2 linked regions of the Anolis sagrei genome follow. The protein of the gene in region 2 binds, or shares a complex with, the protein of the main gene of each other region. Links are inferred from orthologs where the notes say so. Each region holds a gene or a part of one and is shown on either strand. Other genes may lie near its edges.

What was found.
Region 1: the proteins of ABCC8 (region 2) and KCNJ11 are in contact, whole or in part, in a cryo-EM structure (PDB 7S60), measured with the Homo sapiens proteins. The link is inferred for Anolis sagrei from reciprocal best matches to the Homo sapiens genes ABCC8 and KCNJ11. Residues at the interface, in NP_000343.2 of Homo sapiens: Phe5, Ser12, Ala13, Tyr15, Arg16, Val17, Val21, Asn24, Cys26, Phe27, Ala30, Val33, Val34, Val37, Phe41, Phe44, Ile46, Phe48, Ile49, Gly50, Trp51, Gly52, Ser53, Ser55, Lys57, Val58, His59, Ile60, His61, His62; in NP_000516.3 of Homo sapiens: Val44, Ala45, His46, Lys47, Asn48, Ile49, Arg50, Gln52, Gly53, Leu56, Val59, Thr62, Leu63, Lys67, His70, Leu73, Ile74, Met77, Cys81, Leu84, Leu85, Met88, Trp91, Leu92, Phe95, Ala96, His97, Gly98, Leu100, Ala101.

Annotation. Positions count from the first base shown.
Region 1 is NC_090021.1:248,140,836-248,157,380, forward strand, and holds KCNJ11 (ATP-sensitive inward rectifier potassium channel 11), read left to right. Parts: upstream 1-9,909; 5' UTR 9,910-9,996; coding exon 9,997-11,184; 3' UTR 11,185-13,891; downstream 13,892-16,545. Other genes in the region: ABCC8 (ATP-binding cassette sub-family C member 8), read left to right, coding at 2,501-2,609, 3,014-3,117, 3,844-3,977, 4,105-4,167, 5,511-5,648. UniProt on the Homo sapiens protein: Inward rectifier potassium channel that forms the pore of ATP-sensitive potassium channels (KATP), regulating potassium permeability as a function of cytoplasmic ATP and ADP concentrations in many different cells.
Region 2 is NC_090021.1:248,042,242-248,057,983, reverse strand, and holds the start of ABCC8 (ATP-binding cassette sub-family C member 8), read right to left. Parts: upstream 7,428-15,742; 5' UTR 6,814-7,427; coding exon 6,597-6,813; intron 2,388-6,596; coding exon 2,246-2,387; intron 1,365-2,245; coding exon 1,243-1,364; intron 1-1,242. UniProt on the Homo sapiens protein: Regulator subunit of pancreatic ATP-sensitive potassium channel (KATP), playing a major role in the regulation of insulin release.

The sequences.
Region 1 (16,545 bases), about 99 kb from region 2:
AAGAACGTTGTCCCGAAAGCAAGGTGCTGGCTGCTGAAGCTGATGAACTACTGCATTGCATTCTGTCAGATTCCCAAACTCTGGAGGAAAGCAAGAGTCAAAGCCATCTTGAAACCAGGCAAAGACCGTAATGATCCAAAAAGCTATAGATCAATCTCCTTGTTGTGCCATCTTTATAAAGTTCTGGAGAAACTTATTTTGCATATGACTACGGCAAAAATGCACCAGTAAGCTGGTTTCAGGAAAGGGAAAAGCTTCACATCACAACTGTTGAACCTGAGTCAGCACATAGATGATGGTTTTGAAAGGCAACAGATTATAGGAGCTGTCTTCATAGACCTGTCAGCAGCATATGATACCGTAAACCGCTGCCTTCTCATGAGAAAAAATTATAATATCACAAAGGACTACCACCTCACCCACTTCATAGGAAATCTGCTACAAAACAGGAGCTTCTTTGTTAAGTTCCAGAGTCAGAAAAGCTGATGGCAAAACAGAAAAATGGCCTGCTCCATCAGTGTTCAACATTTACACAAATGACCAGCCACTGCCAGAAGGGACAGAGAGTTTCATCTATGCTGACAATTGTGCCATCACCTTTCAAGCAGGGAACTTTGAAATGGTTGAACAGAAGGTCTCCAAAGTTTTAGGTGCACTAACTATTTATTTCAGGGAAAACCAGCTGATTCCTAATCAATCTAAAATGCAGACATGCACTTTCCATCTTAAGAACAGACAAGCATCTTGAGCTCTGGGGATTACCTGGGAAGGAATCCCGCTGGAGCATTGCAGCACACCCAAATATCTGGGAGTTACTCTGGACCGTGTTCTGACTTACAAGAAGCACTGCTTGAATATCAAGCAAAAAGTGGGTGCTAGAAATAATATGATACGAAAGCTGACTGGCACCGTGTCACAACCAGACACAGTGAAGGCATCTTCTCTTGCACTTTGCTACTCTGTGGCTGAATATGCATGCCCAGTGTGGAATACATCTCACCACGTTAAAACAGTGGATGTGGCTCTTAATGAGACATACCACATCATCACAGGATGCCTATACCCAACACTGCTGGAGAAATTATACTGTTTAGTCAGTATTGCACCAACTGACATCCATCAGGAAGTAGTAGCCAGTAATGAAAGGGCCAAAGCATTGACATCTCCAGCACATCATCTGTTCAGATATCAGCCAGCATGCCAACGTCTTAAACCAAGAAATAGTTTTCTAAGATCTACAGAGATACTTGCAGGAACATCTCAGCTATCAAGAGTCCTAAAGTGGCAGGTTAAAACCTGGAACCTCAATCAGTGGCTGAGACCAGATGAGGAACACCCCCTGGGCACACAGAAAACTGGGCAACTTAGAAGGCACTGAACAGACTGTGCTCTGGCACCACAAGATGTAGAGCCAACCTTAAGAAATGAGGCTACCAAGTGGAATCCACGACATGCAAGTGTGGAGAAGAGCAAACCACAGACCACCTACTACAATGCAGTTTGAGCCATGCCACATGCACAATGGAAGACTTTCTTACAGCGACATCAGAGGCTCTTGAAGTAGCCAACTTCTGGTCAAAGGAAATTAAGTATAATACCAAGTTTTTAACTTTGTTTGTGAGTTTTAATACATTATAATTGTATTCTCAATTTGCTTCTGACATTAAAAACAAATATTAGAGCAGCATCTCCCATATTCATATTACTTGTACTGGGATTGTTCTAGGTTTTGTGGTGTTCAATTTGAGGCAGCTATCCTGGGAATTTGAAATGTTTTTAAAGAAGGTTTCTGATTCCTTTTTGTTGTAACTATGACATTATGCAGGGTTTCTTAATGTGTGGATTTTCAGGAAATGTAAAAAGACCTCGAAGCATAATACAACTAAATTTAGATAGATCTAAACTGTATTGTTTGAAACTGCAAAACACTAAGCTTGAGCTTATTGCTGCCAATGAATTCATTAAGACTTTAATTTGTTCTGGGTTTGATTAAATTATTCACTAGTTTATACTGGACTACCTTCAGCTCTCCAAATGAAATTAGCATCCTGCATTTAGTTACATAAGTTCGGTTTATTTTAATAACATCTCAGCATTGTTAATTCAATACAACAGTACAATTTGCCCTTGGTATCTGATGGCGTTTGGTTGTAGGACTTGGTTACCAAAATCTGTGGATGCTCGGGTTCTGTCATATACAATTGCATTGTAACATTGTATTCCTTATATCAAATGACAAAATAAAAGTTTGCCTTTTGGAATTTTTTAATATGTTCAAATTGTAGGTATGGATAGCTAACTATATATTCTAGTTTTATCTATTTATTCAGTTGCAGTGGAATAAAGAATACTTTCAATCACTGTGTGAAATAACATATTCCTTTCTGACTTTCTGCTTATGAAATATACTTTACATTCAGTGTAATGTAATTTAATTAGAAAAATATGCCATATGCAGAAGAATGTAATCACTATATGTTTTGTTTTAAAATGACAACAGGAAGGATCATTATAGATGGCATAGACATTGCCAAGCTTCCCTTACAAACACTGAGATCCAGACTGTCAATTATTCTTCAAGACCCTATTTTGTTCAGCGGCACAATCCGGTAAGTGTTATCATGCCAACCTTAGAAAGAAACCTAGTTTGGTCTCTATGGCCTGGTTTCACAGTTTGGACAGAAATTGTTGCCACAAAATCATCACTTCACACTATCTCTCCCAACAGAAAAAAAGAAATATTATTTATAAGAAAAGTCTAAAATTCCCATTAATTCTTATTTGGGAGTTGATTTAAATCTTCTCTGGATCCAAAAATCAGAATTAACTGAAAAGGAGCTAATAATAATAATATGTCAGAAGTGACTTGAGAAACTGCAAGTTGCTTCTGTTGTGAGAGAATTGGCTGTCTGTAAAGACGTTTCGATCTTGTACTGTAAACTGCAACCAGACACATGCAGTTCACAAAAAGTTAACCATTTTGATAATGTTTGGCTATATTTTTACCCCTTAGGTTTAACCTGGATCCAGAAAAGAAATGTACAGACAGCATGTTGTGGGAAGCTTTGGAAATAGCACAGCTGAAGCATGTGGTGAAAGCTTTACCTGGAGGCTTAGGTAATATATCCTTCATTTGTACAGATACCCAATGTTAAAAGCATACCCTGTTGTATTTTAGGCTGTGTAATTCAACTTTACAGAGAGTTAACAGTATCATTTAATGGACAGTTCATTTAGAGAACTTTGATTATGGAGCAATATAGAAAAGCTAAACATATACAAGCATATGGACAATTTCAACAGAAAGGAGGGAACTATGAAAATGAACAAAAAATACCAGTATTTTTAAAAACTCTAAAATTGGGACAGTAAATAAAGAGGAACAAACAATAGGGGAAATCCTGACATGAAACAATCAGGGCCAGCTAACACCTCCCAACAAAGATTCCCCAAGGCAGGAAGCAGCCAGACTTTGAAGCTGCAAGGCAATTCAATGCTAATCAAGGTGGCCAATTGCAGCATTCACGCTTGCCTCTAGCAGACAAGAGTTCTTTCTCCCACCCTGCACATTCCACATATAGATAAACTCCACTTGCCTAGTTTCCAATAGACCTCAGAACCTCTGAGGATGCCTACCAGGAGGGAATGCTTCTGGAACATGGCCATACAGCCCGGAAAACTCACAGTAACCTGATGCATACTTAGTTGGCTGAAAAGGAATGGGATGGGAGCAAGCATGTTCTCTCACACCACAGTCCTCTTCAATGACAGAAAATGGGAAGTGAAAATTGATATAATCAAGAATATATACATTAATTTTCTAAATGATTTTGCTTTAACTAGATGCTACAATCACCGAAGGAGGAGAGAATTTCAGCCAAGGACAAAGACAGCTGTTCTGCTTAGCCAGAGCATTTGTACGGAAGACAAGTATCTTCATCATGGATGAAGCCACAGCATCAATTGATATGGCAACAGTGAGTCAGTAGATTGAATATTGTTTACAAAGGATAAAACTGTGGAACCCCTGAGTTGGAAGATTTATCATCCATGTGTAATTATGATATGTTAATTAATAAAAATATTTTTTTGCCTACTATTTAGGAAAATATTCTTCAGAAAGTTGTAATGACTGCATTTGCTGATCGTACTGTGGTGACAATTGCTGTAAGTTTTGGTTTGGTTTTTGCTATTGTGAAGCCATGTATTTATAACATAATAGTACTTCGGGCAAATCACATTCTCTCAGCCTCGATGGAAAACAATGACAAACCCTCTGAACAAATTTGCAAAGAAAACCCTTGGATAGGTTCACCTTAGGGCTGACAGAAATAAAAAATGACATGAAGGCACACAACAACAATACAGCCTTTCTTCTTTTATTCTTGATTTTAAAAGAATATCTAATTAAAACAAAAAATTCCTTCCATTTTCAACAGATATAAAAAATAGATATGGGATAAATAATGACTGGCCACAGATAACTCATGATAAGAGAGAACCTTTCTCTTTAAAAATGACCAGAATCCTGTTGGAAATTTGTATATAAAATGCTGTAGTTAAGGTGCTCCTAGTTATGGCCCTGGTGGTGCAGTGGGTTAAACCACTGAGCTGCTGAACTTGCTGCCTGAAAGACTGGTGGTTCAACTTTGGGGAACGGGGTGAGCTCCCTTTGTTAGGCCCAGCTTCTGCCAACCTAGCAGTTTGAAAACATGCAAATGTGAGATCAATAGGTACCATTGCTGCAGGAAGGTAATGGCGCTCCATGCAGTCATGCTGTCCACATGATCTTCGAGGTGTCTACAGACAACGCCAACTCTTTGGCTTAGAAATGGAGATGAGCACCACCTCGCAGAGTCAGACGCAACTAGACTTAATGTCAGGGGAAATCTTTACCTTTACTTATGGTGCTCCTATCTCAGTCTCCCAAATCTCCACTTCCTGGGAAGCAGCCACTGTTGATTACTGAAAGTCTCTTCCTTTGTCAATCAAAAAATTGCTGGCTAATGTTTCTTCTCCCTGTAGTGCAACAGCCAGAACTAAGGTCCCTATTACAATTCACCCTTGGACAAAGATAGGTTCTGCAAGGAGGGAGTGGGACCATCGACCAAATGCTTCATGATCAACAGATGAGTGGACCCATTAATCCCAGCAGGGGATTAATCCCAGTAAATGGAGGATGGGGGGTTTTCACAACCCTTACATAGGGATGATGAATACAAAACAGTTGTGAGTGTGTTGATGTAAGTTTTGCATGTGTGGCTGCCTAACAGGATTAAAGCCAATACTGGGGCAATGCACTTTCAATTGTGTCTCAAAATAAATGGGAAGATATAGCATATGGAACAAAATCAGAGAAATAGGATTGTTCACCAGATTAGAATAATCTTATCTATATGATAATCTACATTATGGTGATGTTGCACATTAACAAGAGTTACCTAAATGTATTTCTGTCAAACATGATTTAATAAGTAACTAGAATTATTCCCATGTCTTTTGTTTTCCAGCACCGAGTACACACTATTCTTAATGCAGATATGGTGATTGTAATGAAGAGAGGAGTCATTCTGGAATACGACAAGCCAGAGGTCTTGCTGGAGCAAGAAGGGAGTGTCTTTGCTTCTTTTGTCCAAGCAGACAAGTAAATGCAAATAATTAAATCTTTGACATTTCAATTTTATTATCCATTTTCTAATCATGTAAAATAATTGTAAATAAAAATATTGATTATTTAATAATAAAAGGCCTAGTGTCTTCCTTCATTAGAAATGAAATGTGTTTTGCCTGTTTGTCAATTAATCTTTTAAAGCAAATTTCCTAGTTAATCATAAGAAATTATTTACTTCACTAGTTTATTTATTTATTTACCCTATATTACCCCAAGGGGCCTCAAGGTGGCTTTACACATAGGCAAATATCTAATGCCTTAAAACAACACTAAATTAACTAATTACTATGCTAAATTTTAGTAAGAAAAATGTTTTATATAGTATATATTTACTGCAATATATATGGCAATAAATACATTTTAAATGTTTACTTTTCAACTCTGAGTATATAAATAGCATATAAATAGTTGAAAAATAACTCAAATAATTTGCCATTTGGTTAAATATACTACATATCCAGTAGTCCATAAACATTAAAAGAAATAAAGGAACCATATACAAAATAAAGGAACCATATTTGTAATTCCTAAATGTTCAGATTGTGGAAGAGTGTGAGATTTTAGGAATCTGCTGCATTCTTCCTTCATCTCTGTCATACTAAATTCAACTCCAATTTTATCTCATAACTGAGTCTGTGGTATGTCATAGCTGATGCTTTTTAGCTGTATAGATCATACCTCAAAATTCTGCAATTAAATACTTCTGGAAACCTGTGAATTTAAAAACAAAAATATACCAAATAGATTACTCTGCAGGGTAGAACAAACATTCAACTAAACAGTTTTACCACAATTTGACATATCATTTTCCTTGGTTTTGATGCACACACATCATTGAGACCATGGATGCTTTCACAGGGCTTAAAGTAGTTCATAACAGAAGTGCAGTGGATAAACCTAATTGCAATAGAAGCTATTTTCAAACATTTTGCTGCTCTAAATCAGCAAAATGTTTTCTACTTTCTACTCAAGTCTAGTTTCAAAATGCATGAAAATACAGTTCATGAATATTTCTAAGGTTGCAATTTCTGTTCTGGTATGCTTATGTTGGTGCACATTTTTCTTACTAAGACTTTCCTTTAAAAGGTTGTGCAGGGCAAGTTTGCAATTCACATGAACAGCAAATCAGAACAGCATTTATGTAAAGAGAGGGAAGAGGAACAGTCTGTATAAAGATGAATTATATGCCAATTTTGTGTAAGTGAGAAAGAGCAAAAATGTGAAGGCAAGAGAGAAAAAATAAAGATAAATGAATTTAAAACAGCTATTATAAGAGAAATATTGGGCACATGGATACAAGTTCATAAAAGACAAATGGATCTTAATGTGAGCTTTTATGAAAGTGAACATAACTGTAGAAATCTGCTCTTGGGCGCATAAAATGCTTCCAGGTATTTCACTATACAAAAGGATTCTTTACCATATAAAATATTGCTTTTTGGTGTTTTTAAATTTTTATACATGATTAAAGCTATTATTTGCTACTGTTATGCCAAAGCAATAGGGAGTGGAAGTAGTTTGTGTGCCACAGAAGAAGAGACTGATGTAGTTTTCATATTTTATGTTGGTAAGGTGCATTTGCATCTGTATGGACTCTTTCTGGGTGGCAAGGCACTGACAAAGGAGGTCTCCTGTGTAAGACAGAGTGCCTCACAAACCAGAAAATGGTTGCATGTAAAGTTCTGACTGGAGGACAAGAGAGAGAGCAGGTCTAGCAAAGGCCAATTGCTCAGATAGAGCCACCAGTGGTGCAATGGGTTAAACCCTTGACTGAAGACGGAAGACTGAAGGTTCGAATCTAAGGAAAGCATGGATGAGCTCCCTCTGTCAGCTCCAGCTCCCCATGTGGGAACATGAAAGAAGCCTTCCACAAGGATAGTAAAACATCCAGGCATCTCCTGGGCAGTGTCCTTGCAAACGGCCAATTCTCTCACACCAGAAGCAACTTGCAGTTTCTCAGGGCATTCCTGACATGAAAAAAATTGCTTGGATGCACCAATTAAAACATCAAGAGAAGCTATGTAAATGGCTGAACAAAAGCAATAGCTGCCTGCACATTATCATTCCCCCCCTCCCCACTTTGGGCAGAGCAACAATGGGAGAATCCATATCCCATCAGGTCTGGCTCATGTAAGTGGGGCACTTTTAATCTAGTCTTTAAAGGAGTAGGCCAATACAGCACAGTGTTGTGCTTTGAGCCTTGGACTCAGTCATGAGCAAGTCACACACTCTCAGCCTCAGGAGAAGGCAAAGGCAAAATTCCTCTGAACAAATATTGCTTCCCCCCCCCCCCCCATTGTATTAGGGTCACCATAGATCAGAAATAATTTGGAGATACACAACCATCTCACATTATAGATTCAGCACCATAGACAGCTCCTTTGAAGATTGGCCTAAGTGTTCTGCATAAGATGTTATCTACTACTAACCAGTGAGCTTAACAACTATTACAGCCCAGAAGACATGCATTTATTTATTCAAGCAGATTCAATGACAATACTACTGGTGAGCCAAGTTTTTTTGGAGTCATACTGCGAGCGACTGAAGGTATCACCCACAGCCTGTGTTACTGCTGCTCTGGGTGCTGCAGAGGCAAGCGAGTGCCCATGCTGATCTTGAAAGCTCAAGGTTCTGGTACCTGAAGTACCAGCTGTGCCAGTACCACCCTGTTCATTTCTTGAGGTACTCTTTGGACACCCTTCCAGCCCCTTTTCCTCCAGCAATATGAGATAAGGCAAGTAGCCATTGGAGACTAGAACTATATCTGCACATTATTTGATACCATTCTTTGGAGAAGTTCTCAACCTTTCTAATGCCATGACCCCTAAATACAGTTCCTGATGTTGTGGTGACCCCCAACACTAAAATTATTTTCGTTGCTAATTCATAATTGTAATTTTGCTATCAAACTTGGCACACAGAACACCCACATCCAACAGAAAATACTGGAAGGGATTTATTGCTCCTGCAGTCATTCCAGGAGACTATTATTATATATTATTATTATTACAGTAGAGTCTCGCTTATCCAACCTTTGCTCATCCAACATTCTGTATTATCCAATGCAGTTTGCCTCCCACCTGAATCCACAGCTTTTTCAATACATTGCTATGTTTTGATGCTAAATTCGTAAATACAGTAATGACTACATAACATTGCCATGTATTGAACTGCTTTTTCTGTCGATTTTTTGTAAAACATGTTTTGGTGCTTAATTTGTAAAATTATAATGTAATTTGATATTTAATTTGATATAATAAGTTTTTCCTTAATCCCTCCTTATTATCCAACATTTTCACTTATCCAATGTTCTGCTGGCCCATTTTTGTTGGATAAGCAAGACTCTACTGTATAAAACTCAGTTGGAAGGAACCCCCAAAGGCCATCTAGTCCAGCCCCTTTCTTTCTCCCAGGCAGGAAGATAGAATTATTATTCTATTATTACACATTATTATTATAAATTATTATTATAATTAAACTCAAACAGTTGGAAGGGACCTCCAAAGGCTATCTAGTCAACAACAATAATACTAATATTAATAGTAAGTCAAGCTTATGGCAGGTTCTCCCATCCTTTCTGCTCCATATAATAATACTACTACTTTCAGGCCAGAAGGCAGGACAAGGCTGAGTGGATTGAAGTCACAGGAGGGCACATTTGGGCTGAACATCAGAAGGGGGGCGGGGGGGGAGAGAGAGCGCAAGAGAGAACGCGAGAGAGAGAGAGAGAGCGCGAGAGAGAGAGCGCGAGAGAACGAGAGCGGGGGCGCAAGAGACAGAACGAGCGCGCACGAGAGAGCGCGCCCGCATGAGAGAGAGAGAGAGCAAGCGAGAGCGCGCAAGAGAGAGAGAGAAAATGACAGAGAGAGCGCGAGAGAGCGTGCAAGAGTGCGAGAGAGAGAGCGGGAGCGAGAGAGCGAAAAAGAGAGAGCTCTCCTCCTCCTCCTCCTCCTCCTCCTCCTCCACCTGGCGCGTCCGCTGTGCTGTGGGGGCTTCCCTTGCGCCACAGCGCCCCCTGCCGACACCTCGAAGCAGCGCTGCGGCGCCCGGCCCAATGCGCGCCTAGGTGCCGAGCCGCCCCCGCTGACCGCTCTCCTCCTCCTCCTCCTCCTCCTCCTCGCGTGGGTCAGCCCCAGGCCGGCGCAGAGGCGATTGGCGTGGGCAGCTGGGCAGGAGGAGGAAGAGGAGGAAAGGGGCGAGGGGAGAGGCAGGCGGGCGGGCGGGCGGGGTGGCGCGGACCCGCCTGGCGGCTTCCCCTCCTTGGCCGGCCTGGCGCTGGGTGTGCGTGGGCGGCCGGGGCTGCGGGTCCGCGTGGGTGCGCGGCCATGCTGTCCAGGAAGGGCATCCTCCCGGAGGAGTACGTGCTGACCCGGCTGGTGGAGGCGGTGCCGGAGCATGCCCGCTACCGGGCTCGGGAGCGGCGGGCCCGCTTCGTGGGCAAGAACGGGTCGTGTAACGTGGCCCACAAGAACATCCGCGAGCAGGGCCGCTTCCTGCAGGACGTCTTCACCACCCTGGTGGACCTCAAGTGGTCGCACACGCTGCTCATCTTCACCCTCTCCTTCCTGTGCAGCTGGCTGCTCTTCGCCATGATCTGGTGGCTCCTGGCCTTCGCCCACGGGGACCTGGACCACAGCACCAGCACGGGAGGGGGAGGCGACCCTGGGGACGGCTTCGTGCCCTGCGTGACCCAGCTGCACTCCTTCACCTCCGCCTTCCTCTTCTCCATCGAGGTGCAGGTGACCATCGGCTTCGGGGGCCGCATGGCCACGGAGGAGTGTCCCGCCGCCATCCTGGTCCTCATCGTGCAGAACATCTCGGGCCTGATCATCAACGCCATCATGCTGGGCTGCATCTTCATGAAGACGGCCCAGGCCCACCGGCGGGCCGAGACCCTGATCTTCAGCAAACACGCAGTGGTGGCTGTGCGTGGGGGGCGGCTCTGCTTCATGCTGCGGGTGGGCGACCTGCGCAAGAGCATGATCATCAGCGCCTCCATCCGCATGCAGGTGGTGCGCAAGACCACCAGCCCCGAGGGCGAGGTGGTGCCCCTCAACCAGGTGGACATCCAGCTGGAGAACCCCGTGGGTGGGAACAGCATCTTCCTGGTCTCCCCGCTCATCATCTGCCACACCATCGACTCCAGCAGCCCCCTCTACGACGTGGCCCCTGCCCAGCTCCACCACCACGAGGACCTGGAGGTCATCGTCATCTTGGAAGGGGTGGTGGAGACCACCGGCATCACCACCCAGGCCCGTACCTCCTACTTGGCTGATGAGATCCTCTGGGGCCACCGCTTCGTGCCCATCGTCACCGAGGAGGACGGGCAGTACTCTGTGGACTACTCTAAGTTTGGCAACACGGTGAAGGTGCCCACGCCCAACTGCACTGCCAGGCAGCTGGAGGAAGACAGCAGCATCATGAAGGCCGTGGTCTTGTCCCCAAAGGCCACTGTCAGGAAGAAGTCGGTGAGGTTGAAGCCCAAGTTTACCATCTCTGATGAACCCTCCTGATGCCCCTTTTGTTACTTGGTTGAGCTCTAGAACCTGACGCAGTAAACATGCTCAGAGAAAGTGCCGGATTTAGAACAAGTGGGGCTCTGCACTAGTTATGAGGCCCCTGACTTGGGCTCTGAAGAAGGTTGAACCGGTAGGCCTCCATTGCCTGCTCTGTGGCATACTCCCATAGACTATCATTATGTCTGGAATCGCTCCAAAATAGAACACCTTCAAATTTAGAATTGCATCACATAAGAAAAATCCATCATAAGATTTTGGGGCAGGAAGATGGGCCCCCTGGTCAACTGGGGGCCATACTTAAGCACAATGGTAAATCCGGCACTGTTCAGAGATTGCCTCTGTTTCTGTTATTCAGGTAGGTAAGGTACCTATTGTGCAAGACAGGCGTCTAAAACGACCTGAGCATCCAGAATCCCTTCCTTTTTGACTTGCAGGGTTATTTGCACAATCTCTTGAGGTGGAGAAACCATCCAAAACTGAAAGATGGCCCCTTTATTTATTTCTTCTTGTTGAGGACACATTTTCTATGTATTCTATGCTGTTATCTCTGCCTCAGCTTTGGAGAAACCAGACCTGACGTTTGGTTGTGTTGTTTTTTTAACTTCTATGCTTCCGGTGATGAAGGAAGCTCAGTTGGTTTAATAAGAAGGAAATCAGTCATTATTTTTTCTGACAACAAAGACTGTAGACACAAGGGTGCCTGTTTACGCTGCCATGCTTCATGTCTTAAGAAATGCACACATTTAAGTGAATGCATAAATAATGTTACAGCTTCTTTCAATGGAAGCAGGTTAGGAGGCAATAGAGTTTTGTGGGACACAGGAATCTTGTAATTTAGTTCGGTTGTCTCCCAGTTCTTGCTTTTTGTAGGAACTGGGAGAAGGAGGCAGCTCAAAATATGAGATGGCAGGGGTTTTGTGGGGGGGGGGGTTGACTTGAGAAACTGCAAGTCACTTCTGGTGTGAGAGAATTGGCCATCTGCAAGGATGTTGCCCAGGACACATCCGGGTGTTTTACCATCCTGTGGGAGACTTCTCTCATGTCCCCACATGAAAAGCTGTAACTGACAGCTGGGAGCTCACCCTGCTCCCCGGATTCGAACCTCCGACCTTTTGGCCAGCAGTCCTGAGGACACAAGGTTTCAAAACGGGTTTATATTGTGCCACCATGACCCTCTGCATGTCCTTCCTCTAACACTACTTTAAACTTTGTTGTGTTTTCACAGGGCCACCTCCAGTGAGATTTGGAGACACATTGTTTCTGGCCTTGTTCATAATAACTGAAATGCAAGATGGAAGCATTCACATCCATCACATTTAACTATTAAAATGGGTGTTGATTCTTTATTTATTAAAACTTGGCCTGTCTTTGATCCCCAAGATTCTTTCCACACTTTTAAAATGGGAAATGTCATTTGAACACCCCCCCCCCCTCCACAAAACCGGGTTGCTGTGGGTTTTCCAGGCTGTATGGCTATGTTCCTCAAGCATTGTCTCCTGACATTTTGCCCATATCTATGGCAGGCATCCTCAGAGGTTGAAGGGTCTGTTGGAAAGTAGGCAAGTGGGGTTTATTCATATATCTGGTAGTATCAAGGTGGTATTAAGGTGGTATCAAGGTAGCCAATTGCAGCATTCCTACTTGCCTCACAACCTCTGAGGATACCTACCATAGATGTGGGCGAAACGTCAGGAGAGAATGCTTCGGGGACGTACAGCCCAGAAAATTCACAGCAACCAGTGATTCTGGCCGTGAAAGCCTTCAACAACACCCCCCCCCCCTCACAATTAATCCATGAGAATGCTTCGATGTAAGTGGGATGTAAAGGATACATAGCAATGACACCTAACTAGCATTAGTCCAACAATATTTTCTAGCAAGTGCCACCTCCCATGAAAATTGGAGACATATTATTTCTGGCCTTGTCACAATAACAGAAATGTAAGACCGGAGCATTTCGTCCATCATACTTAACTACTACATTTGGTGACAATTGTTTTTTTATTTAAAAATAATAGGGCTGCCTTTTATTCCCCAAGTCACTTTTCAAACTTCTGAAATGGAAAATGTAATCCCTGTACAATTATGGGAATTTAAAAAATGTAAATGATACATAACAATAATACCTAACCAGTGTAATTACACTCCCCATACATAGCCTTTGAATCCAACAATACTTACAAGCAAGGAGCCAGAAGGGAAATAAACAACAAGCTCCTGACATTTTGCCTGGCTGTCACATGACCTCATCTGTCAAGTTGCAGTCATGCTTTTTAGTTTGATAGTCAACATAAGAGGGTGGTAGCTGCCCTGGACAGGGTGTTGGATTAAGACCGGAGACACCAGCAGCCAATCCCATGCATTGGGAGACCTGGGGCCCATCACATCCTCTCAACCTAACCTACCTCAAAGGGTTATCACAAAGGTTATAATAGGACAGCCTCCGGGATGGGAGAGCTATTTATCCTGCCTTGCAATGCAACAGAAATAACTGGTGATAACAAGGAATCTACTGTGGAACTTCTCTTTCCACATAATTGAACTGCTTTGATTGCCACATCTGGTTCAGTACTCAGACTTAGGGTGCATCTACACCAGGCTTGAACAAACTTGGGCCGTCCAGGTGTTTTGGACTTCAACTCCCACCATTCCTAACAGCCTCAGGTCCCTTCCTTTTTCCCCCTCAGCCGCTAAGCGGCTGAGGGGGAAAAGGAAGGGACCTGAGGCTGTTAGGAATAGTGGGAGTTGAAGTCCAAAACACCTGGACGGCCCAAGTTTTCCCATGCCTGATCTACACTATATAATTAATGCAGTGTGATGCCATTTAACTGCACAGGATTAATGCTATGGAATCATGAGGGTTGTAGTTTGGTGATGCACTGCACCTATTTGGAAGAGAAGACTAAATAACTTGTAAAACTACAACTCCTGTGATTCCATACCTTTAAGTCATGGCAATGTAACTACCTCATCACACTAGAGAATGAATCCACTTTAAATCCGGTTGCACCCTCCTGCAGAATTCTGAGGTTTATATTTTAGGGAGGAGCCTTCAACAACCTCACTAAACTACAAACCTCAGCATTCTGCAGGAGGCAGAAGCCAGATTTGAAGTGGATTTATTCTCTAGTGTGATAAAGTAGTAAGTCATACATTAATTCTACAGCATAGAAACACCCTTAGAAATGAATTAATTTAACCCAGTAGATGTAATCAAAGTGAGATGAACTTAATTATTTAATATATCACTATAGAAACCAGGCATGCATTAGGCAAAAAGGTATGTAACTATATTAAGGCAAACAATATAAGGATATGACTTGCAATTATGGAATTAAAGTCTTAATGCATGTTTAAAATGAGCATGTGTATGTTTTAATACATTTGCATGCTTCTTAAAATCTTTGTTACATGAATAAAGATGAGGTAGGCACACCAATAAGGCAATATGTTCTGCACCCTTTGCACAATATGAAACAGAAATAGTCTGTGGCATGGCATAAGAGTGAAAGAGTTTAATTTATATTGTGGCAATCCACAATTTTTTTTATTTAAAGCTGTATTTATTAAAAGTCAATAGTGCAACATTAATGCCTTGGATGAAGATCATGGCATGTAATGCAATGAAGGATAATTTTTGATATCTTACCTATCCAATTTGTTTGCAATTTTCTGTGCATTTTTCTACCAGGGGTGCAAGGGCTCTTTAATTTCCTATACAGTCCTATCAGTCTTTACATCTTGCCTCTTTCAATAATTGTTAAACTGTAAAATTGTCATATGAAATTGTTAATTTCAAATGAAAATGAATTGTTTTCACTTTCAAAGGTGCCTTATTCTGCCTTCTTACCAGAATGATTTTTGAATGGTGTCCTTACTGGTTGCTTCATCTCCAAGCCCGCAATTCAGAAACCAAGGGTGCATCTCTGTTGTAGAATTAATGCAGTTTGACATCACTTCAACTGTGATGGCTCAACACTACCAAATCATGAGAGTTGTAGTATGACCATGCCTGCCAAAAAGTCCTGGTGCCTCACAAAGCTACAAACCCTACGATTACAGTTGAAGTGTTGTCAAGCGCAGTAATTCTATAGAATAGATACTCCCTAAGGCCCCTTCCACACAGCTGAATAAAATCCCATTATCTGCTTTGAACTGGAATATATAGCAGTGTGGACTGAGATAACCCAGTTCAAAGCAGATATTATAGGATTTTCTGCCTTGATATTCTAGATTATATGGCTGGTGGAAGGGCCCTAAATCAGAGCACTTGGGCTTACAAAAACCTCTAAATCAGTGATTCCCAACCAGTGGTCCACAACAATGAAAATATGGTCTGCGGCCTCACCATTGCTACATTGTTGCCTCAAAACCAGGATAACTGGTTTCGCAAAACCCTCTTATAGTGTCAAGGCAACAGGGATGTCAGGAGGGATGAGGCTAACTACCCACAAAAGATTACTACTACCACATCAGCTCTAGATTATTAAATACGGGTTTGTCTGTGGGCGAGCAGATGGCGACTACTGGATGCATATGTTACGTATCATAAACTAGAGCTGATGTGGTCTACCCAATGCAATTTTATGAATCAGCACCCCAAATAACCAAACTGAATCTAAAGTTGACCAGAAACAGATTCGTAACCCTTTTGGTACTAATGTTGGGGAGTGGTCCCTCGTCAAAGTGGTCTCTGTTCAAAAAAAGTTGGGAACCACTGCTCTAAATTATTTATGGAGCCAGACCAGTCTGAAACTCAAGTGCATGTTCTTTGTTAAGCTGCAAATGGTTTTATATATTTTCAGAGCACAGAAAATGTTGTCTTCTGTTAGAAGTTTGTAAATGTAAAAACTTTGTGTTTATCCTAATGAAATCAGGTAATTGATCTCTAATGGATTTGAGGACTGTTCATTAAAAATAACCTGATAGACTACTATCTTGTACTCACTTAACTGAGAACAAGAGCCATTAAATTCAGTAGATCTTCTGAGTGGACACACACTAGATTGTACTATTATGCTCATATTTCTTCAGATGCACAAGAAAATATATGTTGCTTGTGATATATGGTTGTTGTCAGAATACAGTGCTACCTATATTATTGTTTTAATATACCAACTTGTGTGTACTCACATCAGGAAAGTTCTGTGACCCTTGTGGTGATGTTTGATAGCCTGTCCCATCATTACTCACTATTGTCTTAGGCCCCTTACAGACAGCTAAATAAAATCCCACATTATCTGCTTTAAACTGGAATATTTGGCAGTGTAGATATTCTGGGTTATATGGCTGTGTGGAAGGGCCCTTAGACTGGTCGGTAAAGGTTTTCCCCAGACATTAAGTCCAGTTGTGTCT
Region 2 (15,742 bases):
TCTTATCAGTGTTAGACCTACAAGATTGTTTGCAGCTCCCTGGATGCCATACAGTAATTTAATGTTGCATTTACCATGCCAATGTTTAATTTAAATTTAGAATGTTGACTCTATTCTTTGCATGTTATTTATGCTGCTACTTTGTTTTTGACTATTTTCATCACTTGGAGCAGGGACAGGGACACTTCAGATATTAAGGCACTGCAATTTCCACAATTTCCTTCATTTATCGTGCTGGCTTGGTGTAACAGAGTAGCAAAGGAAGCCAGCAGTAAAGGAGAGCTGTGGAAGATGACAAAAATGCCAAGGAATAGAACAATGTGATAAGGAACCGCTAGGAACATAGGAGAAATATATGATGAGAGAGTGGGGTTGGGGAAAAAAATGAATGGCAAATGTAGTGGGGAGGAAGTAACGAGATGGATGGAATGGAGGAATCGGGAGATGTCTGGAATAGCAATTGATTTGTCGACAAAGAAGCAACATTAAATTGCTCTTTGAGTAGACCAGGTGTTGTTTATGGAGCATTCGCCATAGAACTGTTATCACTAGCATCACCTAGTAGTTATATTGAGGGACTGCTTATTTTTGCTAGAGCTGCTGAGGAATAAGTAGCTGTTTGTTTTTCCAAGACTTCCGCTGGAAGTTTTTTTAAAGATGCAAACTTTTCAAGTTTCCCTTCCCATGAATGAGGGCCAATCTGTGACACCTGGACTGATGAGTGTTACAGTGTAACATCTAGTGAACCATCTAGTGCTTTCTCTATTCCTGAACAAAATACTTTGAGAGCCTAACTCAGAACTGTGAATCATGGCGTGTCCCTGCTCTTTCCAGGGTCCTTTCACAGAACCATATAACTCAGAATATCAAGGTAGAAAATCCCACAATATCTGCTTTGACCTGGAATATCTGAATCCACACTGCCAAACATCCCAGTTCAAAGCAGATAATGTGTGATTTTATTCAGCTGTGTGGAAGGGGCCCAACACTGCAATTCCTGGCACTTCTCATCTTTGGTTGTTCTGGCTTGGGCTGCTGGTATTTGGAGTTCTACAACATCAGGTGGGCCAGATGATTCCCATCCTCTAGCAAGCAGTAAAATTTCAGACTACTAAACACATGGTAGTAATATGAAAGAACTCCATATTAGGAACTTCATAGTGAAATATTGTTAAGACCTATTCAATCTGAACCCAAGAGCAATATATTTTAATACATAGTCTTCAGGATTTCAGTACATACCTATTAATAATTTTGGGAAATTTGATGTTTCAATATTGTGATAATAGACAATTGATGTGATGGCTGCAAGGAATGCCATTCCAGGTGGCATGTAAAGGTGCAAATGACGGGAGTCAGAAAAACTAAGTAAAAGAGAACAAATATTAGTCACAAATACAATGTTTGAGAGTGCCATGTTTGTTTTTATGCTTACAAGAAGATATATATTCATCTGAAGAGAGATGCTGATCAACACACAAAGGAATGTGCATATGTTGACTTTCTCCAGGTGGAGGATCTAATTATATTTGTGTAGCATCTGTCATTCTCTTCATTTCTCTCAAACACACCAGTTCCCATACCTGAGTTAGTACAGTGGATCTAATTGATCAATGGAAAGAAACCAAAAAACCAGTGAGTCCTTTTCAGTGACTATATACAGTCGCTTGCTCCTTTTCCATATTACAAATAACAGGATAAAGAATAAAACCTGAAGTAGTGTTTGTTATTCCAGATCTATTTAAGCACTAAAAGAAAACCAGCTGGTAATTGTTATAATTTTAAGAACACCGGAACATCATTTGAAGTCTACAGGTTATTTTATATTGGTTGAAAATTATTAGAAATTCAAAATGCATATATTTAAGGACTCTGTAACACATTTTGGGGAAGAAGCTAATATATTGTAAGTTTAGGTTGACTTTCAGCCATGTCATGTAGGAGCTTTTCTTCTCCTTCTGGGCCTTTACAGACATAGGAAACGCAGAGAAGGAAAAGCTCACAACACCCTTGGCAAACAAGTTAGAGCCAATTGGCTAACTAAAAATAAGCGAGAGCATCTGAGTATTTCTACATACACATTCTTGGCAAGTCATTTGGAATGTCTGACTCAAGGTCAGTAGGTTAATCATCACAAACACATTGCATTTTTAACAAGTAAAGGAAAGTATACTCAACAACTTGCTAATGTCGGTATTACAAACTCAGATGATGTTAGAGAGAGTTGATCGATGTATATACTTACCCATCTGACACTATGCCCTCTGCTATTTCACACACCAACACAAATAAAAGGATGAAGGTTAAAATCCATCGTAAATTATGTCCAGGAAAATGAAGCCATGTGCTGTGATGGATATGAACTTTGGAGCTTTGACTTCCCCATCCTAAATGTAACAAAACAAATAACCACAGTTATCTTGCAGTATTGGTGCAGACAATGCAAAAACCATTCCTGTCTATTCTGAACTGAAACAAAAATATTGGGGTTTTTATTTTGTCTTATGAAACAGGAACAAAGAAAGGCAGTGGTGATAAATACATTGTTAGAAAGCAATTTTGGCAGTGATACTATAAAACACCATCGTATTAAGAGGTACGTGACACAGGATCAAACATTCTGAATATTTAGGCTTTAAGATAATACGTATTAAATCAGAGATAGGACATTCTGAATACTTTGACCCAATATAGTTTTGATATCTACATGGCTGACAAACAGTATTCCAGTGAATATGGAAGGAGCACGTTTCCACTCAAACTGCATCCCATATTCCTTTCAATTTGTATGCATTAGAATGTTAGTTTATAATATGCAAGGGCATGTTCAAATTAAAGTCCACAGCGGAGGCCAGAAATGGAAATAGAAACAGTTTGGGATAATTCAAATTAGATTTTGTTATCATGCCCACGGGGATTGTCATTGCTACTGTAATTTGAAAGAGCTAGTTTATAGAATAAGTTTTATGTTTATATTGGAAAGTGCATATTATACTTTTAAAAGTTATATATTATTTGATGTCATGGCCTATGGCTAGTATAATAAAAACTCATCACTTTATTGATACTAAATCATAAATTTAGCAGGGTAATCTTGGTTACTTTATTTTACTGAGTTTTAGTGTTGGCTGCTGGTTTTCATGTCAGTGGGAATTCCCAAAGTTGGTTAAGACTACCGTTCAGACTAAAACCAAAAGCAGTTTCACCACCCCATTGACAGAAATGAACAGCTACCAATTTATGATGCTAAATTGTGTGGTAGAGGAATTATATATACCCCAAACCTGAAGCAAATATTGATTTTAATGAAATGGTATTCCTGCCTTGAATTTTCTTCAGTTAAAATATAAGTGCTACGTAGAGTTGTTTAATAGTTTTATTATTTTTAACAATATATGTTTAATATTTCTATGTTTAATTCTATTGAATGTTTATATGTGTTAGGTTTTCATAGTATCCTAGATTTGGAAGCGAACACGTGAGCCATCCAGTCCAACCCCCTGACAAGAAGAAGGAAAATGACATTCAAAACGCCATCCAGCCTCTGTTGAAAAGCCTCCAAAGAAGGAGCCTTGACCACTCTTTGGGCAGAGAGTTCCACTGCTGAACAGCTCTTACAATTAGGAAGTTCTTCCTAATGTTCAGGTGGAATCTCCTTTCCTGTAATTTGAAGCAATTATTCTGTATCCTAGTCTCCAGGGAACAAGATTTTAATTCAAAGATTGTTATGGTTTTTAATTTTAGCCACTTAAGTTTCCTTTGGCAAAGGAAAAGCAGGGTATTAAGACTACTACTACTACTACTACTACTACTAACAACAACAACAACAACAACAACACACTTTTTTCGTATCAGGGGTGACTTGAGAAACTACAAATAACTTCTGGTGTGAGAAAATTGGCCATCTGCAAGGACGTTGCCCAGGGGATGCCAGGATGTTTTGATGTTTTACCATCCTTGTGGGAGTCTTCTCTCATGTCCCCACATGGGGAGCTGGAGCGCTCTCCTCGGATTTGAACCTGCGACCTGTCAGACTTCAGCCGGCGCAGGGGTTTAACCGACTGCGCCACTAACAACACACTTAGATATATAGACAGAATTTTATATCCCCAAATAATATATGTGACAGGAATAGCCCTGGCTAAGGTGTGAGAGAGCCATACCTATTCACCCTGTGTCTTGTGTGTCCCAAAGTAGAACAGGGATGTTTTTATAAGGTAAAAACTAATTATTGCAGACAGAAAATGGAACAAGGAAATACAGTTAATACATATTTACAGCTATTTGAAAGCAAGATATAGGAAGAGATGGTGGGAGTAACTATGGTAATATCACACATTATTAGTCATATCATGGACATATCTAGTTGATGGGTTGTGCAAATCCCACACATTTATCACAATATCAATGAAAGAAAAGGAACAAGTTCATATTATCTTAAGTGCTTCACATAGTCATATACAGTATTATGCCATGTCCTAAACTATCAAGTGATCATAATTATTAATAAACTTTCTTTGGTTCTAAGAAAAGTAATCCATTCCAAAGAGATGTGCTGAATTGATGCTTTATATATAGCCCTTCCAATGCTTTGCTATGAAAAGAGAAGCCTTGAGTAGTAATAAACAAATAAACACATTTCTGATATTATGGAATCTGTGGCCTAGAAGTCAGATGCAAACTATTTAATTTAGTCTTTTAATGGTTCACATATTCGATTGGGCAACCACTGTTACATATTAGTAGTGTAAAACATCAATAGAATAAATCAATAGAAAAAGTGCCTACATAGTGTGAGATCTCATTAGGTATTTAATGTGTTTTAATTTCAATGTTTATTTTAATTGTACATTGTGTCAAGGCATCAAATAATTGCCTATCTGTAAAGTCACCTTGAGTCCTCTTCGGGATTAAGAAGGACAGGATATAAATATGGTAAACAAACAAATAAATAAATAGGTATGGGAAGGCATATATTCAGTTGTTTTCCTTGCTTGAGAAAAACATTATATTTCCTTATTTACCATATCCACTCAAATAAGTCACCATAACCTTATGTGACTCCATTTCCTCTTATAAGAGGTATATATCCTTTTTATTTAACAAAATCTGACAGATGAGCTGTAACTATAATTTGGCTTTCTTTGAATAAATTTCTTTGTGATCCAGTTCAATGCAGCTTAAATTCCCATGTAAGGGCCTTTTAAAATAATGGAGAGAAGATGCCTTGATGCGTTTGGGCTGTGCAGGCTTTTATTTTGAGCATGCTCTCTCTCTCTCTCTCTCTCTCTCTCTCTCTCTCTCTCCTCCCTTTTGCCTGGGAGCTGCAGAAAAAAGCAGGTCAGCTTCCTTCAAGCAAGTGTGAATCTCTGTACTTTTCCTGAATGGCTGCAATGATGCTCAGAATGGAAATGGGGGGTTATTATCAAGACAACCATACAGCATTATTATTCCAAGTCAGAGAAACATTGAAATGTTAGCACATGACAAATGTAGACATGGAGAACAAAGCTGCCTACTTCCTTTGATTTAAATGACTTTGTTGTACCTTCATACAACTGAGAATTTATCATCCCCATTCATAATGTCCAAAGTGTGCATTTCCCCACCCTGGTTTGCTGTATGTGGGTCTTCAGAATTGTCCTTAGACATGAAGCACAGTATCAGCACCACTGGTCCTTTCCTTTGATGTGAATGCCTTTGTACCTTCTTAGAACTGAGAATTTATCATACCAATTTAACCCACTTCTAATCCCCATCATGAACATTTCTTCCTGATTTGGTGTGCATGAACCTTCACTTATTACTGACACAGGCACAGCACCTGGGACAAAGTGGAATGCCCCCCTTTCATTCCTGCCAAGGCTGGGAAGAGATGGCACCCAACTGGAAAGTCAGAGAAGGAAAGAGAGAGAGAGAGAAAGTGAAGGAGAGCGGGTGAAAGAGGTGTTTCAGATATGGGATTAGATTTTTAATGATTTCAATTGAATAGTTTCAAGGTTTAATCCTATTACAATATTTGCATGGGATTTTAGGTGTTAAATTAAAGAAGATTCCAGCTAAACACGAGGAAGTACTTCTTATGGGTGAGAGCTGTTCAGCAGTGGAACTCTCTGCCCCACAGTGTGGTGGAGGCGCCATCTTTGGAGGCTTTTAAACAGGCTGGATGGCCATCTGTTGAGGGTGATTTGAATGTGATTTTCCAGCTTCTTAGCAGGGGGTCTGACAGGATGGTCCACGAGGTCTCTTCCAACTGTTTTGAGAGATTATCACTCTCTTTTCAGAGAGATAAGCGGGATAGAAACACTAATAATAATAATAATAACAACAATGCTCTTATCATTTGGAGGAGCCCTCAGTGATGCAGCAGGTTAAACCACTGAGCTGCTGAATTTGGTGACTTAAAGAGAGAGAGAGAAGAGATGGAGGGAGAGATGGAGAAGGAGAGGGGCAGCGCGATGAGAGGAGGAAAGAAAGAGGTTGAAGCTGCCTGCGGTGCCTCTGCCTAGGCTTTTGGGGGCGCTCCTGGTGGAGCAGAAGCCCTCCTCCTCCTCGTCGTCCTCCTGCCCCCGCCCGTCCTCCCCAGGCTGACCTACCTATGAAGAGGATGGGGAAGGTGATGAAGAGGAGGAAGACGTGAGGCACCACGTTGAGCGCGTCCACGAAGCAGCCGTTGTTGAGCACCCCGTCGTCCACCTTGTAGGCGGACGAGTTGTTCTCGGTGCCACAGAAAGCCAAGGTCATGGTGGGAGACTGAGGAGCACGGCGCGGAGGGGAAGAGGAGGAGAGGAGGAGAGGGAGGAGGCCGGGCATGCAATGCACCGGGAGAGAGGGAGGCGGTGTGTGTGGGGGTGTGTGTGTGCGCGCGCGGGTCTGCCCTGGGGGCGCGTGCCTGTGACCGTCCCCAGCTGCACCTGAGGACCTTTCCTGGCTTTCCCTCCCTCCCTCCCCGCAATCAGGAGCCCCCTCTGGGCGCGCGAGGCTGGGGGGAAGAGCGCGCGCTGCGAGTGGGTGGGTGGGCGACTGGATGGATGGACGGACAAAAGACTCTTCGCGAGACAGAGTGTGCGCGCGCACGCGCCGGCGGAGAGAGAGATGCCTTTGGCGGAGGAGGCGGGGAGGGGAGAGATGCTGAGGGAAAAGGCGGCAAAAAGCCTCGCCTCCCGAAAGGACAGGGCACCTCTGCTTCTTCCAGCAGCGGAGAGGGAATGAGAAAGGGGGAAGAAGAGGAGCCCCCCTCTCTGCCTCGTTTTTGCTGGAGCTCTGCTCCTCCCACCTCCTCTTGCCCCCGGGGTCAAACCTGAAGGGCCGCCTCGTGCGTGGGAAAGCCCTGGGCGCCCTTGGGTCTGCCGACTGCCGTGCCTCTTTTCATCTACTGCTTTCTGAGGCCACGGGAAGAAATGGCCTTCATCTATAGCCCGAAAAACCTCCAACCCAATCTCCTCCTCCTCCTTCCTCCTCTCCTCCTCCTCTTCCCTTGCCTGAGACCCATTAAAACCCTAGCTTCGCTTAAGAGGAAGGCGTGGGAAACCGCCACTCCCGAGGTGACCTTTCTCGAGTGCGCAAATGGGCTGAAGCGGAGCACAGGGCCGCCCAAAGCCGCCCTTCTCCTTCCCAAACTAACAAAATGAAGTTCAACAAGGACAAATGCAAGATACTCTACTTAGGTAGAAAAAAATGAAATGCAAAGATACAGAATGGGGGGCGCATGGCTCGAGAGCACTACCTGTGAAAAATATATTGGGGTCCTCGTGGACAAGTTAAACATGAGCCAACAATGTCATGCGGCAACCAAAAAAGCCAATGGGATTTTGGCCTGCATCAATAGAAGTCTAGTGTCTAGATCCAGAGAAGTCATGTTACCCTCTATTCCGCTTTGGTTAGACCACACCTGGAATACTTTGTCCAATTCTGGGCACCACAGTTGAAGGGAGATGTTGACAAGCTGTAATGTGTCCAGAGGAGAGCTACTAAAATGATCAAGGGTCTGGAGAACAAGCCCTATGAGGAGCGGCTTCAGGACATTTTTAGCCTGAAGAAGAGAAGGTTGAGAGAAGACATGATAGCCATGCATAAATATGTGAGGGGAAGTCATGGGGGGGGGGGGGGGGGAGGAAGCTTGTTTTCTTCTGCCCTGGAGACTAGAAAGTGGAGCAATGGCTTCAAACCAGAAGAAAGGAGATTCCATCTGAACATTAGGAAGAACCTCCTGACTGTGAGAGCTGTTCAGCAGTGGAACTCTCTGCCCCAGAGTATGGTAGAGGCTCTTTCTTTGGAGGCTTTTAAACAGAGGCTGGATGGCCATCTGTTGGGGTTGCTTTGACTGCAATGTTCCTGCTTCTTGGCAGGGGGTTGGACTGGATGGTCCACGAGGTCTCTTCCAACTCTATGATTCTAAGAAGAGCGGCTGCTGCTTCAGAGTTTTGCAGCTCCGCACAATGGACTTTTCACTCGTGTTTAAGGAGGAAAGGGGGGGCTTTGCACTTTTGGGGAGCTTTGGCACATTCATTTGGATTCTTCCTCTGAGTGGATGTGCTACATTGTCAGAAAGCCAAATGAAAAAGCATTCTCCCATATCCATTGCATAATACATGCATGGGCAAACTTCGGCCCTCCAGGTGTTTTGGACTTCAACTCCCACCATTCCTAACAGCCAAAATTGAAGTCCAAAACACCTGGAGGGCCGAAGTTTGCCCATGCCTGGTATAGTAAGGTGGGCCAAAGGACCAGCCCTGCTCACCTTACCAATACAATGAGAATACTATTGTAACCCACTTTGGTGTTGGACAGCTTGAGTGTGTGGTTGGAGTCGACAAGTGAGGGTCTGAGTGGTTTGAACTATTGTTGTATTTGAATGTTAGACTCTATATGTGGGTTGTTGTAGGTTTTTTGGGCTGTATGGCCAAGTTCTATAAGTATTCTCTCCTTTCGGGCCATATAGCCCAAAAAACCTGCAACAACCCAGTGACTTTGGCAATGAAAGCCTTCGACATGGCTAGTGGGTTTCCCTCTAGCCATGAAAACTAACGGGCAAGTCACACAAGCCTCAGGGGAAGGCACTGGCATCCCTCCCCCCAAACAAATCTTGGCAAAAGTCTTGGACTCCTCACCCCCTGATGTCCATATCTCAGTAAAATCAACCAAGTTGTGAGCCTTTCTATATAAGTCTGCTTTTGGGGAAAGCTGGAACTCTAATCACAATTACAGAGGGCAAGCCACTTCCCTGTTATGTCAGCTCACTGGCTGCCTGTCTGCTACTGAGCACAATTCAAAGTGCTGGTTTTAGCTTATAAAGCCCTAAACAGTTCTGGCCCAACTTACCTGTCTAAACGTAGCTCCCTTTATGAACCAACTCATAGGTTAAGATTGTTTGGGGAGGCCCTGCTCTTGGTCCTACCTCCTTCGCAGGTATAGTTGGTGGGGATGAGGGACAGGGCCTTCTCAGTGGTGGCCCCTCAGCTGTGGAGCTCCCTCCCCAGTGAAATCAGATCAGCTCCCTCCCTCCTGACCTTCAGAAAGCAAGTTAAAACATGGCTCTGGGACCTAGCCTTTGGTCAATAGTGCCGTGAAATAAGATGGGAAATGTGCAATCACAACTAGAACAGCTTTTTAAAAAAACCCATGATCTCGGATTGCATGGTTTTAATAATGTTTTTAATTTTTATATAGCTCTCAAATTTATGTTTTAGTCTGTGTGTTTATTTTATATTTGTTGCTGATATGACATCAAATTGTTGCCTTTGTAAGGCCACTCTGAGTCCCCTTTGGGACTTCGGGACTTCTCACCTTTGGGGTGAGAAGAGCAGGATACAAATACTGTAAAAAAATAAATAAGTAAATAAATAAAGGGTTCTGGCTGATATGGAATGCTAAGCATGGAAAAGCCGATGCCGCTGTTCCTTGCTGCTAGCTCCCATGTTCAGCACATAGGCATTCAGAGATGGGGCCAGATGACATGCAACAGCAGCGGTGGGATCAACTGTGTTGTCTTTTCAATATGAGAAGTATTTCATTCCAGAGGGATCTGTCCCATAGTAGAACATGGGAAGGAGCTACAGAGGTAATGGAATATTGATATATGCACCTGCACATCTCAGCAGACTGGTTAAGGAAAAATAACATCCCTGGGTTCAGTTCCAATCTGCAATCAGCAGACACTGTGGGCACCATCCCAGCCTGGGAATTGGTCTCTGGGTTTTTTGGGTAGACATTGGACAGCGAAGCAGGTTTATTTTAATCCATCTCTAAACTGCATTATAGTGTCTGTGTAGAAGCATTCTATCTGTGGGATGTTCTTAATCAGTTTCAGAACGTTGAACTATTTGCAAGGACAGAATGGAATTACTTTGATTACAAATTTAATAACAGTGCTCTTGTAAAAGGGCTGGATTTCTGATAACAATGTGATGACACAGGGGTTAGTGGATTTTTTTTTGTAGAACCATGTTTAGAAGTATATTTATGAAACAGATGCTATAGTTGTTGCCAAATTATGTGTGACAGCCTATAGTCTCTGGGCTGTTTCTCGTCTGTGCTGTCATTAGAAGGAAGTGTGAACAAATGCAGTCACAATGTGCCCAGATGGAGAGAGACACCTAGAGTGATTATACATAATGAGTCAGAAACATTGAACTATTTGTACCTTTACCCCAAATTATGGAAAGGAGAAGCAAAGAATTTGCCTAAATTTTGTATAGGTTCAAGATATGCACAGTTACCAATATGTAACATATTGCTTCTAGATGCAACTGGACAAGGACTACGTTGACGAACAATGCAATTTCACTTCTCAAATGTTCTTGTGTAATTCAGTTGAGCTAGAATTTGTAGTGCTAACACACCAATCACTTTCTTATATAAACTGGCATTACGTAAGGGTTGTGAAAGATCATTTTGTCTTGCTTTAGGCACAGTGACTTTTGTGTAATTTTTGCTGTTCTTAATAGCACAATGGGAAAAGTACAAACTATTACTTCATTAGCCTTCAAGAGGAAGAGGTGGAGTGGGTTCTTTTCAAATGTGCCTGGTATTTTCAAAAGTCATGAGGTGTATCTGTGGAGGAATGGTTGTGTGTATGTCTTAAATGCCATCACACTGATACTAGATTCCCTTAAGAAATCAGACACAAAAGTTACAGCAACTTCATGATCCAGATCCTGTTTCCTATACCAGCTAAGCAATTTAATTATCTGGTGAATTCTGTCTAATCCTTTGTATTTTATCTGTACCTGGGAAAATGCACTTCCATCCTTTCAGCAAACTAGTAATGGGAAATTCTAATTATTTTCAAATAGCAGTACCATCCAACTCTTTGGAGACAGCCAGCATAGTATTGTGGTTTGAGTGTAGGGCTGTTGGAGGCATGGTTTCAACAAACTGGGTGACAATTGGCAGTTCACATTCCTTCAGCCTTAGCAGATGCTAATGGCAAGCTACTTCTGAATAAAACTTGCCAAGAAAACCATGTAACAGGGTTGCCATAAGTTGGACTAGTATGCTAATGTTTTATGTTAAGCTGCTTTGAGTCCCCTTTGGGAGAGATAAAGTGGGGTATAAATAAATATAATAATAATAATAATAATTATACTCTAACTGGTTTTTGAAGTCAGTATAGTTCTTGTTCAGTTCTTCCTTGTCTCCTGTGCTATGCTAAGAATATAATATAATGTAATATATTGTATAGACATATAATATTTATAATATTATAATGTAATACAATGTACTACTACTAATAATATGATATTATAATTATATATTTTATATTACATGTAATAATAATAATAATAATAATACAATATAATGGTATAGTACAATATAGTAATATATAATATTGCTATTGTACTATGCTAATAATATAATGTAATATATTGTGTGTGATATATATGAGAAGGGCGGCATATAAATGTCATAAATAAATAAATAAATAGTTCTAAAAATGTGGCATATTGTTTAAAAGAAAGGACGAAGGACTTCTTGTCCGCTATGACAACCATGGGGCTGTCCCAAATTATATCTTGACCCACACATTTAGCTGGACACAGATTGGACCTAGTGTTTAATGCAGGTATGGAGGAGAGGGCCGGTGTGTCTTATGTCTGTTATAACAGGCTGAGTTTTTAAATTTAATTTTAGTTGTTAAGTCATAATCCATGTTTATATGTTGGGTTGTTTAAATTTTGTTAGTATGGATGTATTGTTGTTGTATTCGGGCATTGAATGTTTGCCTTTTATGTTTGGAAAATCTGCCCTGAATCCATCTGGGGAGATAGAGCAGAATATAAATAAATAAATAAATAAATATTATTAGTAGTATTATTAGTATTGTTTTATATTATTATTTAATTCGCAGTTTATGTTTTATACTCGTTTAACATAATTGTTCTTTTATTGTTTACTTATTTTTAATTTAAATTATATAACAACTAGCTGTGCCCTGCCACGCGTTGCTGTGGCCTATAGTAAAACTTATCAAAGTTGAGGTAGATATCTGGACTATTATGAAAGAGAGGTACCTACCTATTCCTTCCCCCTTTTCCTCCCCCCTTCTCTCCTTTCTTCCTTCTCTACCTCTTTCTTTCTTTCCTTCTTTCACTACTTGGTTTCATCCTTCTCTCTTTCCTTCATTCCCTCCCCCTTTCTTCCTTTGCCTTTCTCCCCTCCCTGTTTGCTTCCTTCTTTCACTTTTTATTTCCTTTTATTTTACCACCATCATAACCATAACAATAATGCAATGCATTGCCTCTGGGACCTGACACCTCTCCCATTCCTCCAGGGTCTAATAGGAATAATAGCATAATAATAATAATAATAATAATAATAATAATAATAATAATAACAGAAATAACAACCTTTACCCGCCACGTGTTGCTGTGGCCAACCTTCCCTCTTTCCCTCCCTCCCTCCCTCCCTCCCTCCCTCCCTCCCTCTTTCCTTCCCTCCCTCCCTCCCTCCCTCCCATCTTTCCTTCTCCTCTTCCTTCTCTATCTCTTTCCTTCCTTCCCCCTTTTTCTTTCTCTTTTTGTCTCTTTTCTTCCTTCTCTCTTTCCTTCCTTCCTTCCCTCCCTCTTTCTCTACATCTTCCCCCTTCCTTCACTCCCTCTTTCCTTCCTTAGAATCATAGAATCATAGAATCAAAGAGTTGGAAGAGACCTCATGGGCCATCCAGTCCAACCCCCTGCCAAGAAGCAGGAATATTGCATTCAAATCACCCCTGACAGAAGGCCATCCAGCCTCTGCTTAAAAGCTTCCAAAGAAGGAGCCTCCACCACACTCCGGGGCAGAGAGTTCCACTGCTGAACGGCTCTCACAGTCAGGAAGTTCTTCCTCATGTTCAGATGGAATCTCCTCTCTTGTAGTTTGAAGCCATTGCTCCGCGTCCTAGTCTCCAAGGAAGCAGAAAACAAGCTTGCTCCCTCCTCCCTGTGGCTTCCTCTCACATATTTATACATGGCTATCATATCTCCTCTCAGCCTTCTCTTCTTCAGGCTAAACATGCCCAGCTCCTTAAGCCGCTCCTCATAGGGTTTGTTCTCCAGACCCTTGATCATTTTAGTCGCCCTCCTCTGGACACATTCCAGCTTGTCAATATCTCTCTTGAATTGTGGTGCCCAGAATTGGACACAATATTCCAGATGTGGTCTTACCAAAGCAGAATAGAGGGGTAGCATTACTTCCTTAGATCTAGACACTATGCTCCTATTGATGCAGGCCAAAATCCCATTGGCTTTTTTTGCCGCCACATCACATTGTTGGCTCATGTTTAACTTGTTGTCCACGAGGACTCCAAGATCTTTTTCACACGTACTGCTCTCGAGCCAGGCGTCCCCCATTCTGTATCTTTGCATTTCATTTTTTCTGCCAAAGTGGAGTATCTTGCATTTGTCACTGTTGAACTTCATTTTGTTAGTTTTGGCCCATCTCTAATCTGTCAAGATCGTTTTGAATTCTGCTCCTGTCCTCTGGACTATTGGCTATCCCTCCCAATTTGGTGTTGTCTGCAAACTTGATGATCATGCCTTCTAGCCCTTCATCTAAGTCATTAATAAATATGTTGAACAGGACCGGGCCCAGGACGGAACCCTGCGGCACTCCACTCGTCACTTCTTTCCAAGATGAAGAGGAAGCATTAGTGAGCACTCTCTGTGTTCGTCCACTTAACCAATTACAGATCCACCTCACCGTAGTTTTGCCTAGCCCACATTGGACTAGTTTCCTTGCCAGAAGGTCATAGGGGACCTTGTCGAAGGCCTTACTGAAATCCAGGTACGCTACATCCACGGCATTCCCCGCATCTACCCAGCTTGTAGCTCTATCGAAGAAAGAGATCAGATTAGCCTGGCATGACTTGTTTTTGATAAATCCATGTTGACTATTAGCGATGACTGCATTTGTTTCTGTTTGCAGACCGCTTCCTTAACAATCTTTTCCAGAATCTTGCCCGGTATCGACGTGAGGCTGACCGGACGGTAGTTGTTTGGGTCATCCTTTTTTCCCTTCTTGAAGATTGGGACCACATTGGCCCTCCTCCAATCTGCTGGAACTTCTCCCGTTCTCCAAGAACTCTCAAAGATGGTTGCCAATGGTTCCGAAATGACTTCCGCTAGTTCCTTCAATACTCTGGGGTGTAGTTGATCTGGCCCTGGGGACTTGAACTCATTAAGAGCGGCCAGGTATTCCTGGACGACTTCTTTCCCAATTTGGGGTTGGATGTCCTCCAATCCCTCATCCACTCCATCTTGCTGAGGTTGAAGACTCTCTTTTTGTGAGAAGACCGAGGCAAAGAAGGCATTAAGTAGTTCTGCCTTTTCCCTATCCCCTGTCAGCATTGCCCCATCTTCTCCGCGAAGAGGTCCTATCGCCTCCTTGTTTTTCCTTTTTCTACTGACATAAGAATAGAAGCCCTTTTTATTGTTTTTAATGTCCCTGGCAAGCCTGAGCTCGTTTTGTGCTTTAGCCTTGTGGACCTTTTCCCTACAGGTGTTGGCTATTTGTTTGAATTCTTCTTTGGTGATTTCTCCCTTTTTCCACTTCTTGTGCATGTCTCTTTTGTGTCTTAGCACAGTTAGAAGTTCTTTGGACATCCATTCTGGCTCCTTCATTCCCTTTTTTCTTTCCTTCTCTCCTTCCTTCCTTCCTTCCTTCCTTCCTTCCTTCCTTCCTTCCTTCCCCCTTTTTCTTTCCCTTTTGGTCTCTTTTCTTCCTTCTCTCTTTCCTTCTTTCCTTCCCTCCCTCTTTCTCTACATCTTCCCCCTTCCTTCACTCCCTCTTTCCCTCCTTCATTCCCTTTTTTCTTTCCTTCTCTCCTTCCTTCCTTCCCCCTTTTCTTTCCCTCCGTCTCTCATTTCTTCCTTCTCTACCTCTTTCCTTCCTTCCCCCTTTTTCTTTCTCTTCTGCTGTCTCTCTTTCCTTTCCTTCCATCTTTCCTTTTCTTTCCTTTTCTTCTTCCTTCTTTCTCTAACTTTCCTTCCTTCCCCCTTTTTCTTTACCTCCCTTTCTCTTTCTTCCTTCTTTCCTTCCTTCCTGTCTTTCCTGGATTTTGACAGGGCGGGAAGGGGCGGGGCGGGGTTTGGAGGTGGTGTGAAGTAAAAGGAGGTAAGATTGGGGCAGGGGAGTGATGGAGCGTAGGGTTGTGTGTGTGCGGCAGCGGGGGGAGTGGGGTTGCATGTGTGTGTGCGGCGGTGGGGGGAGTGATGGAGAGAGGGGTTGTGTATGTGTGTGTGGCGGCGGGGGGAGTGATGTAGCG